Cricetulus griseus: one gene and its partner. The main gene of each other region encodes a partner of the protein of the gene in region 2 in a complex. Links are inferred from orthologs where the notes say so. Each region holds a gene or a part of one and is shown on either strand. Other genes may lie near its edges.

Region 1 (5,020 bases), on a different chromosome or scaffold from region 2:
GAAAACACTGAAATATATAGAGAAAAATGATTAATAATGTTAAAAGACTATATCAAAATTACAACCACAATAGAACATTTTACTTTTCTCAGAAACCAAGAAGACAGAATAGAGGCCATCCTGGCTTAAAAACTCAACTGGGTTAATAGATATAGGTAACATTTAGGAAAAAGTACAAATATTCTTGTACTTATGTACAAGAATAGGTCATGCATATGTATGAGAGAATTTGAAACACAGTACTAAGACATACTCACAAACTTCTTTAAACCAACAACATAATAAGAAGAGCACACTTTTCTTCAAATGCCTGGGTAGTGTGTGCAAGATCTGACTGTATCTGTATCAGGTCACATAGTATGTACCCCTTTTAAATAGCAAAGCAAATGTAGTCATTTTCTCCAGCACGCTAGGAGAAATAAAACAGCCTGAATCTGCCCAGTGCCAGAGTGGTGAAAAGTAGGAAACCATGCCTCCTTACACACTGCAATTAGGAAGTTGAGTTAGACAACATTCTGAAGCAATTTCAGTCATCCTAAAGACATTTTAAACCTGCATGTCTGCTGACCCAGCTTCAGCTTTTCAGAAGTTATCCAGGAGACACTTAAAGTACTGTACAGAATATATTCCTAGTAATTATGTGATGTTAACTTGGAGCTATTGTGAACACTGTCATAACCACATAAAGACACAGTCACAAACTGTCATAGAATGTTAGGTTTGTGTGAACACTGACATCAAGGATATTCATAGTACACTAACATGGAAAAACATCTAACACACTAACTCACATCCACCTCACATACAGATGTAGACACACGTATCACTACATGTTCATACACAGAAAAGATACACATCTCCATCTCACTGCAGAGCAAAAAGCATACTTACATACCACTATCTACTGTAGACATTTCAGTCTGTACAGCTTAACTTTTTTCTACAATCACCATAAACCATTTTTTAGATCAATACATGAACAACTTAATCAATAAAACCCTCCTACCTAAATAAAACCTAGAACTTTGCCCTCTGACACTCTTAATCAAAGCCATGATGCCCCAGAGAAGTATGTGTGACCATTCTGCTCCCAGCAGTCCTGGAGCAAAGGGCTTAGACCCTAAGCCTCTACCTCTACCCAATGGAGCAGACTCTAGGGCAGGCTGACAGAGCCTCAAGCATCCATCCTAGCATTTGTCCAGCCTCCTGTGTGTGCCCAGTACAGATACTGGCATCTAAAGCTCTAGAGGTTACACAATACATTAGAAGTAGCCAAAGGCAGCTGAAAGTTTGCAGGTCAGGCAGAGCTCTCTACATTTATCATGGTTCCGGCTTTGCTACCGAGTCCAAGTCCCATACGTATGTGTTAAGGCCTAAGCACGCAGTTTCTAACCCTATTCTGCCCTTCCAGCTCCTTGACCTTAGACTTTGTTCCAACATTTCCAAATGCATCTAGGGCTGTGGAGAATCAGAAAGGCTTGTGAAATGTTTAATACAGCACCAAAGAAAGCAAACTAAGATACTGTACTGGCTGCTGGAACCAAGGCTTCACCCCACCCAGAGTCATCACAGCAGCACTGCCCCTCACTTGCCCAGACAAGAATCTCACTCTGCAAGTTACCTGCTGGTATTTATCCATCACCTACTTAAACACAATTGTTTTTCCTGGCATCAAGGAAACTGCCTGCTACTGGAGCGGGCATGCAAAGCCAGGGCATCCTCTGAATCTCCAGGAGGTCTACACCAGCCCCCTGAACCAAAAGACAAGAAACCCTAGTTACTGAGCACTTGATGATGCTGCAAACCAACAGCAAGTGCCAGAGGAAAGCAGAGCAGGCTGCAGTGGCAGCAGCTACACATCTGTAAAGAGGAACACTAGAAACCAAAGATGCAGGCCTTACCTGGATGGCTTTGGGAGCTCATTGCTAGCAGTGTCAGCGCCTTAAGTTCAAAATGGCTCAAAATGTCCAGGTAAACAGTAGCTCCAACCAGCTCCAAACTTCCACCAGCACATGCAAGTACAAAACCGAGGTGGCTCGGGTCCCAGCTGCGTAAACTTGAAGTCTCACTGGCAGGATCTTGTAAACCAAGTAATCCACAAGAAGAGCAGTTGTCACCTGGCCTTGCAGAGATGAACCTGCATGGTCAGAGAGAAAGGAGTCCTCAGTTGGGATATGAACACTGAATCTGGACAATACCACCTAACTAAGGAAATAGGTTTTCACTCTGTTCTTTGTATATGAACTCAGGAATCGGACAAAGCAATTCACGCCAAACCATTTCTATCAGTGAGGTTTGTCAAAAATCACATGTGAGCAAACACCATCGGTGAGCAAGGTTCCTCATCGCCGCTGCACTGCTGACGCCCAATAGCTATGCAGTGGCTGGGCTGTTACACTCATGACAAAAACCCAGCTGTATCCCTGACCTCCGCCCACCACAAGCCAGTAGCATTAGCCAATTATGACAGCCAAAAATGTCTGGGGGGGGGGGGGCAAAATCAACCTCGGCAAAAAATCTCATCTAGAGATATCAACCACCCTTACAGAAACATCCCCACCGTCAGTCTTTTGGAAGGAAGTAGTATAGAACCTTGCTGCTGATACAGATATATTCCAAGCTACACCATTTTGTGATGTACACAGGGAAAATGCCACTGTCTCACCTTGCCTTTCTACTGATAAGCGGCCATCCAGATTTTCTGCACATAGTTGCTACCATAAAATTTAGTTCGAATTCCGTAAGTTCTCTCTCATGTGCCCATCTTTATAACTACATTTTCCCAGGTTTAGAAGGAATGCATGGCCATGCAGAAAAGCACCTGAAAAGCACTCCCAAGAGGCAGGGGTAGGTAACATCCAAACTCAGACCCTTTGTGCTATACTTCTCTTTCTCAGTCTTTTGCCCATAGGACCCACTGCCCAGAACGCATCCTACTCCCCAGATGCCCTTTCCCAGGTCACTCTACACCACTTGATAAACACTTGGGAGGGTTTGGGAAGACTGCAAGTTTTAGGGCACTGTCAAAAGCCCTGGATTTAACAGATTCTTCCCCAACCAGACTTTTCACAACTCAGTCACTTCAGAGACAAGCCAATGAATGTCAACCCAAGACTACCTGACTGACTCTGGCTCCAGTACCTACTGAGACATCTGTCTGTATCTATCTCTCTCTTTTAGAATGTGATGAATCTTTTTTTTTTTTTAAAGAGTTGTCTCACTATTTAGACCAGGCTGGCTGGTCCTGCCTCTGCCTCTGCCTCTTGAGTGCTAGAATTAAAGGCATCCACTACCATGTCCAGCCTATGTATCCTTTTATTAAGCAAGTCAAGGATTTTCCCCAGCTGCTTGCAACTAATCAGTTCATCATGTCAAGGACAGTCTTCAAATGTGGGCTATTCAAGGTGGTTTCCGGCTTTGCACTATTACCTACACCTATGTAACCCTTATCTTTATGACAACTGATATGCACCCAATAGCACCATGACTTTTATCCATAGGTTCAGAACTTTTACTCCTCTCAGTCAGGACACCACTTCTTTAAAGGGAGGCAGGTGGCACAATCCTGCAAACCCCATTATTCTGGCAACTTTGAAGCCATCTTACACAAAGTCACACACACATCCTGGCTAGGTATAAAAGTCTCAGGCCACACCATCTATCCTGTAATGCTGTTCCCTTGGCACCATGGAATAGCCTAAGGCCAGCTATCCCAGAGTTCTGTCTACATAACCTTTAGGGCTGGGTATTGCTAATGTCATTTTCTTCTGCCTAAATGCTACCATGTCTTTTTCTTTAGTCTGGAAACCGAAAAATACTGTCAGACGGTGTACCGATAAGTGTCTCTTGATTCGTTTTGCTCACAGCAAGACCCTTTGAATACATTTCCATCTTCCTGCTCTGGAAAATGCTCAGTCACCCTTGATTATTTTTATTCAACTCACTCTGGCTTCTTGAGAGATTGTATACTGCTGCTGGACTCTCTCCACAGATCCACCCCTCCTGCCTCAGACGCATCTGCTGTTTATTCTGCACTCCCAGGCGGGGTGGCCTCTCTGGTACATTCTGCACGTGACTGCTGACATCTTCCACAGTATCGGCTTTCTTCATTGTGGTCAGGATGCCATTTAAGTAAACTTTAAACAATGCTCTCCACTACTTCCCTTGCAAACCTTCATTTGGCCTAATTCTCTTTCTGACCACCCCACCCCTTACCCCATGCACCCTCATTTCTTGAGACATGTCTAGCCAATCTTCCAAAAAACTTTCTTCCAAGACAGGAATCATGTTCTGAGGTGTGCTCTTAAATAGTCTGGACACCTTGTTGACAGGCCCCAGATGGGGACTGTGGTTTTTCCTCAAAGAATAGCATCTCAAGACCAGAGCACCACCCAAGCCTACCTTGCCAGGGTTACAGCTCCCACCCAAGGCTTCCAGCAAGCTCTCTAAGCTCCACTGATGGAGAGAAGCCCCTTGTAAGAGAACCCAAGAGTTTTTGTTGTGACACAATATGTTTGTTCTGGGAGAACTCAAACTTGGCAAAAGTGAACACTAGAAATAACAGGGCTTAAAAGAAGAATGAGGTTCATAACTAATACACTACAAAAATGTATAATGAAAACATTACCACAGTTCAAAAAAGACAGTAAATAGTCCTAACAAAAAAGTCTAATAAATGCAGAAATTTAAGATTTAAAAACAGTAACAACAATTTAAACAGGAGGATAAAGAGACAATGCTTTTGAGTTTGGGAATCAAGGACAACTGAGCCCACTCTCACCTGTATCTGCGACCTTCTCAAATTGTCCAGACACTCCACTAAGGGACAGAGCTTGTCAGACATATTAATAAAAAACAGTAATTTTTTTGTACCAAGTAGAAAGAACCACCATGAGGTAGGACTGGAAATGGCCTAGAGACAGAAGGTCACTCATTTTATATAACATCAGTGTTCCCTAAGCAACAGAGGCCCAGCAATGTGCAACCTACACGAACACATTTTCAATACAGACACATGCCA
Region 2 (5,547 bases):
CTGTGCCACCACCGCCAGGCCCTTCTTTTCAGTAATACATAATTAGTCTTCAAAAATGACAGCTGAGGTCTATCTTTAAAAATATAGTAACAGATATTCAAACACATCCTTTAAAGAACACAGGAAGCACAAGGTTCTCTTTTTTCAATTAGTTAGGAGGAAAAAATTAGGGGCTGGTTAAATGGCTCAGCAGATATAGTTGCTTGCTGCCAAGTCTCATGACTGGAGTTCAATCCCCAGACCTACACAGTAGAAAAAGAACCGATTCCTCCAAGTTGTTCCTCGGGCTGGTAATTTTTAAAGAGGAAGGAAAAATAATTTAATCTTCATTTCAGCATTGTGAAGGATAACACCAGAAATGAAGTTATATGCTCTCTCCACTCCAAGGAGAGCAGCCTAAAAGTCGTGACTGAGAACAGCTGGCAGAGCTCCACCTCGAAGGAATCTGCAAAGGCATCATTACTCCATTAGGGATAATAGCTATTGATCTGGCTCCTGAAGAACTAGCCGAGTAAGACTTTAAAACCCATTGATCCCACCAGGAAGATCTGTTTCTATAACTAAGGCATCCTTCAACCACTGTAATCCCAAGTCCAGAGTTCTAATCCAGTAACCCCAAGGTCCAGGACCTCCTTCCCCCCAGGATGCAAGTACCAGCGGCCTACTCAGTATATTAACTTCTCAAGAGGCTATTGAAAGCCAAAGGCAGGATATTCCAGTGGTCTCCACCTTTGCCCAAAGGGATGTGTTCCAAGATCCCCAGCAGATACCGAAATTGCAGCTAAACCCAAACACTGTATCTCATACATACCTGTGATAAATTTAATCTCTGACAGGCACAGTAAGAGCAATAACTGATAAGTAGAAAGAACAATTATAACAATAGACTGAAGACTTTATTACATTTTATTTTGGACTGTGATCAGCCAAAGGAAAGTGAGATGACAGAATCTGAATATGTGGGGGGAGGGGAGAGTGGGATAACCTAACAAGTCGGAACCATCTAGGTATTCTGCTCAAATGCAAAATTGCACATTTATCTCCTCTCCTAATTCAGAATACTGCCCCTAACTATTGATGTCCTAGTCACCTACAGATATAGCTGTGCATGAATTCCAAACGTGGCATTTCCAGAATTACCCTAGATGCTTAAACTACACCTTAATTCCCTTCATCATCAATTTTTCCGGTGCCAGGGACTGAACCAAGAGACGCATGCTTGAGACACAGGTGATTTGAGTTACCACACTGGGGAACCATGTTCCTCACTGGTTCAAGTAAGTATTGTGTGGAAACTGGGGGTGAGAGGTAAGCTGATTTTCTTAAAAGGCCACAGAAAATAGGCTTGAAAAAAACTTTTTAAAAGGCCTATATCTTACAAATCATTCTTCCTCTCATAGCATGGTCAGCAGAGTACAACCTCCCTCATTCGGATGGAAAACACTTTGTACTGGGTTTTCATTTCCTAACAGCTACTGCAGATGGCCAGCCATCATTTAATAATGCTTTAATGAAAAGCTGTCTCATTGAAATAACACTAAATGCACACCCACCTCGCTATGACCAGAGACATTCTTATTTAGAAATTCCTTCACTTCCTCGTTACTGGGTTTTTAAAGTAAGTGATATGGATATGGATATTGAGAAATATGAAAGTATCTTATAAAGTTGTTAAGGGACATTTAAGGTGAATGGACTTTTCTAGAAGTCACTGCCCTTGTATGTCTAAAGTGAAATAATTTTTTTATTTGGTGATCGAGGCCAATGTGGTAGAAGATGAAACGTTCAATGCCACCTGGCTTATCAGCTCATTTCTGCATTACCTTGGACAAATGCCATCTGAAAACTCCCTACCAGCCCTTAGGTGCATTGCAGCCTCTGTGTCATTGTGTGTGACATCACTGGGTTGCTATGGATATAGGTGCGAGGTCACTCGCTCTCCTGTGGAACTAGAAATAGGGGAGAATTAGAGTCTAAATATCACGAACTGAAGACATTTTCAACATTAGTGACCCACAGAAGTCCAACTTGTATCCTTTAACTGTTAAACCGTTATAAAAAGGAAACTGTAGCAACACACTAACACAACAGTAGCTCTGGTCTTAAAGCCAAATTATTTTTTCATAAAATAGAAAAAAATTGTAGCTCATTTGATTAGGAAAGGATAAACACCTGGACTTTTGAAAACACTAGAAAAAAATTAACTAAAAATTAATGCTATTCGTTCACTTGAAAGGTTTAACTTGCAAGGCACACTCCAGCCACTTAACACCAGAGATGCATTTAACAACCTTTGTTACATAAGGTAGGAAGTTAAATATTAAGGGAGTGGGAAACCCAATTATTAATTTTTCTACTTAATTTTTCAATACTCAGTACTGCCCCTCTGCTGGCAAACTGGTCCCCAACTCGTTAATAAATAAGTGCTACTGACAAAATGGTGCAAATAGGTAGAATTTTGCATCTCAGACAAAAATGCGACAACTGGAGATCAGTATTCTCTTCTCATCAGTATGAGGATGCATTAGGTCAGAGGGAAAAAGCCTCAGATACATTTAAAAAAAAAAAAACCCTCCTCCCAGCCTCCACCCAGTCTAGGCTCTCTGCAATATGACAAATGCAGAATCTTCTGGAATGACTTGATACTGCCTCCCTGCATCGCTTTGTTTGCAATGTCAGATTAGACGGATTTTTTTTTTTACACTTAAAGGAATTTCGGGAGACTCGTGCCTACATTCAAAAGAGAAACTGCATGTCACAAATTTAATCAGTCAGTTAGCATTCAAAGGCATGTTTAACCCTTTTCAATGAAAACTGAATATGGCACACAGAGGGCCATGAATGGAAATGCCAACGACACACTTATCCCTCCCTCCGTAGAAGTCAGAGGACTCGCTTTGGGAAATGGGTAAAGGGAAGCCTTTTGTTAAGAAAAACGTGAGCAAGGTGGTTTCGATTTTACACCATTAAGCCCGGGTTTTTGGGGGAGGGGATCTACGTTTTTTTTTTCTTCCCGAAATATTCAATGTTCTTTAAAGGATGTGTCAGTGGGGAAGATGATGGGGAGGGGGAGCTGCTGGAGTGGGGAGGCGGAAGACTGGGAGACCAGCTGAGTGAATGGGAAAGGCGCCGCCCAGACACCAGGGAGAGAAAGAGGAACCGCATCCATGCGGTCCCCCCGCCCCCACGCCTAAGCGGGGAGGAGGGGAAGTGGGGCACAAAGGATGCGCACGGCCCCCGACTCGGAAGCCTGGACGAGCAGGGTCACTTAGAGACCCCTCCCCAGCAGAGCCCAGCCACGCCAGACCCCGCCCCAGCCCCGAGCCCGGAGAGGCTGGGAAAGAGGCCGCGTCACCACTCGGGTGCCCGAGTCGCGCGTTTAGGACCCGTCCCTAATTAATCCCTCCAAGGAGGGGGACGGAGGGGTGACCCCACGGTCACGACCAGGCGACATGCCCCCGAGCATGCCTTCCACGCCCAGAACCCCGGTGCTCGGGAGCGGCTGGGCGAGGCAGGGGGGAGGGGAGGAGACACTCACGTTCTTCATGGCCGCGGCCATATCGTCGTAGCGCTCCGCCTGCTCGGCCAGCCGGGCTTTCTGCACCAGTTGCTCGCGGTCCACCATCTTCGCGGGGCTGAAGCGGGTCGGCTGGAGAGGAGGACACCGGAGACCGCCTTGAAGGGCTTTAGGGAAAGAGAGGGGCGTCGGAGGCCGACGCACGAAGCGAGCTGCTTAGGCGAGGGCGAGCAAAAGGCTGCACGAGCTGCGACCGCGGCACCCGGCGCAAGAAGGCTGCAGCTCTAATGCGTGCCGCGGACGGACAACCCCCTGCGGTCCCGCCCACACGGGTGACGCAAAGGCACCGCCCACTCGCGCATGCGCGCGAGCTGCCCGGCCCCGCCCGGCCCCTCCTTTAGCGGGCTTCGCCCCTATTGGAACACTCCTTGTGGCTCTTCGAGGTTTTCTCAGCGTCTCCCCGATTGTCCACTGCGCTCTAATGTACCCCAAATCCTTCGCCTCAGTTTCTTCAGATCGCTCCTCGTCCCCCTGAGCGCCCCCACCGTTTGCCTCTGCCGCGTGGACTCCTGGGAGTAGTAGTTCGACCCGCAGCGAACTGACCGGCAGAGGAGACCAAGGACAAAGGGGCGGCGGAGACTACATCTCCCAGCGGGCGTAGCGCCGGCAGAGGCGGACCGGGTGGGGGTAGGGTCTAAGCCCGCGGCCGCTGGGGACCCCTGGCGGGGATGCAGCCTGCAACAGTGCTGATTCACGGCCCCGCCCCATGGCTTCTGGGCAGTTGAGAGGAGAGAAAGCCAGGGCCTCATTTATGGACTCTGTGAAACAGAGGTTACAGATCATGGTCGGAGGATGGGGAAGAACACAGTGCAGACACCGTAAATCCAAACTGCCCAACCACCACCATCGAAAGGGTGAGGCTGCCCGAGAGATGGTTGCGTAAATGATGCAACTCTTAGAGGACTGTCTCACACACAAACACACACACACACTTAGAGGACTGTCTCTCACACACACACACACACACACACACGCACACCCGAATGTTGCAGTTTCCAGTGATGCACTTTGACATGGGGCTTCACTGGGTGAAATCATGGAATGACACATATCCGCCTTGTACATTTGTTAATTTCCCTAAGTGATGTAGCTGTCTACAGGCTGACCCTGGGGAAATCCCTTCTCCCTCCAAGATTCAGTTCACTGACCCAACACTTCCCTGAGCTCACCACCCCCTATAGTTTTGACTGCGTTTTTTGTTTGTCTGTTTGTTTGTTTTGTTTTACCAGAAAGGGTTTCTCTGTGTAGACCAGGCTGGCCTCTAACACACAGATCTTCCTGCCTCTGCCTCCCCTAGAGCTGGAATTTATTTACTGATAGGTTGTCTGGTGTTTCATGAAACTCTACTGGGGTCATTAATTTCTACGGGACATTGAATGACAGGCTAAGAAATTCAGGAGTTGGGAGATGAGGTCTGGGTTTGTCGTTTTCGTTTTCAGTCTTAGAGTGCTGAGACTACAAAACCAGGGTCTTACATGAATGTTCCCAACTGAATCATATTCCCTAGCTTGGGAATTGACCTTCACCTAGCCCCGCCTCTGCCCAGGAATTAATTCATTTTTAAATAATAGACAAAGACTCTACATTATTTTATTGATCGATTTTGTTTGTATAGTTGGTTGTGGTTCCTTTGTTTTTCCGACTTTCTCTTTTATAAAATACCCATTGTTTTCTGTTTCGAGACCTGGCCTCATGTAGTTCAGGCAAACTTCTACCTATGTAGCCAAGGCAAACCTTGAATGCCCTAACCCTCCTGCCTCCACCTCCCACATACTAGGATTACAGGCACCTCAGGTGTGTCAGGTGTTTGGTTTTTATTTTATTTTTTTCATTTTTTTTTTCTCTTGAAACAGCCTCACCCTGTAGCCAGGCTAGCCTGAAACTCACTATGTAACTCAGGCCAACCTTAAACACCTGGCCATCTATGTGCCTCAGCCTTCAGAGGACACAGGTGTGAGCCACTAGGCCCT

What was found.
Region 1: the proteins of 14-3-3 protein gamma (region 2) and Hdac4 are in contact, whole or in part, in a crystal structure (PDB 3UZD), measured with the Homo sapiens proteins. The link is inferred for Cricetulus griseus from reciprocal best matches to the Homo sapiens genes YWHAG and HDAC4. Residues at the interface, in NP_036611.2 of Homo sapiens: Asn43, Leu44, Ser46, Val47, Lys50, Asn51, Arg57, Phe122, Lys125, Arg132, Tyr133, Gly174, Leu177, Asn178, Val181, Glu185, Leu221, Ile222, Leu225, Asn229, Trp233; in NP_001365345.1 of Homo sapiens: Ser348, Pro349, Ser350, Leu351, Pro352, Asn353, Ile354, Leu356.

The regions. Positions count from the first base shown.
Region 1 is NC_048595.1:443,652,630-443,657,649, forward strand, and holds part of Hdac4 (histone deacetylase 4), read right to left. Parts: intron 4,190-5,020; exon of another isoform or gene 3,945-4,189; intron 2,138-3,944; coding exon 1,902-2,137; intron 1-1,901. UniProt on the Homo sapiens protein: Responsible for the deacetylation of lysine residues on the N-terminal part of the core histones (H2A, H2B, H3 and H4).
Region 2 is NC_048597.1:114,931,644-114,937,190, forward strand, and holds the start of 14-3-3 protein gamma, read right to left. Parts: upstream 3,825-5,547; 5' UTR 3,626-3,824; coding exon 3,539-3,625; intron 1-3,538. UniProt on the Homo sapiens protein: Adapter protein implicated in the regulation of a large spectrum of both general and specialized signaling pathways. Binds to a large number of partners, usually by recognition of a phosphoserine or phosphothreonine motif.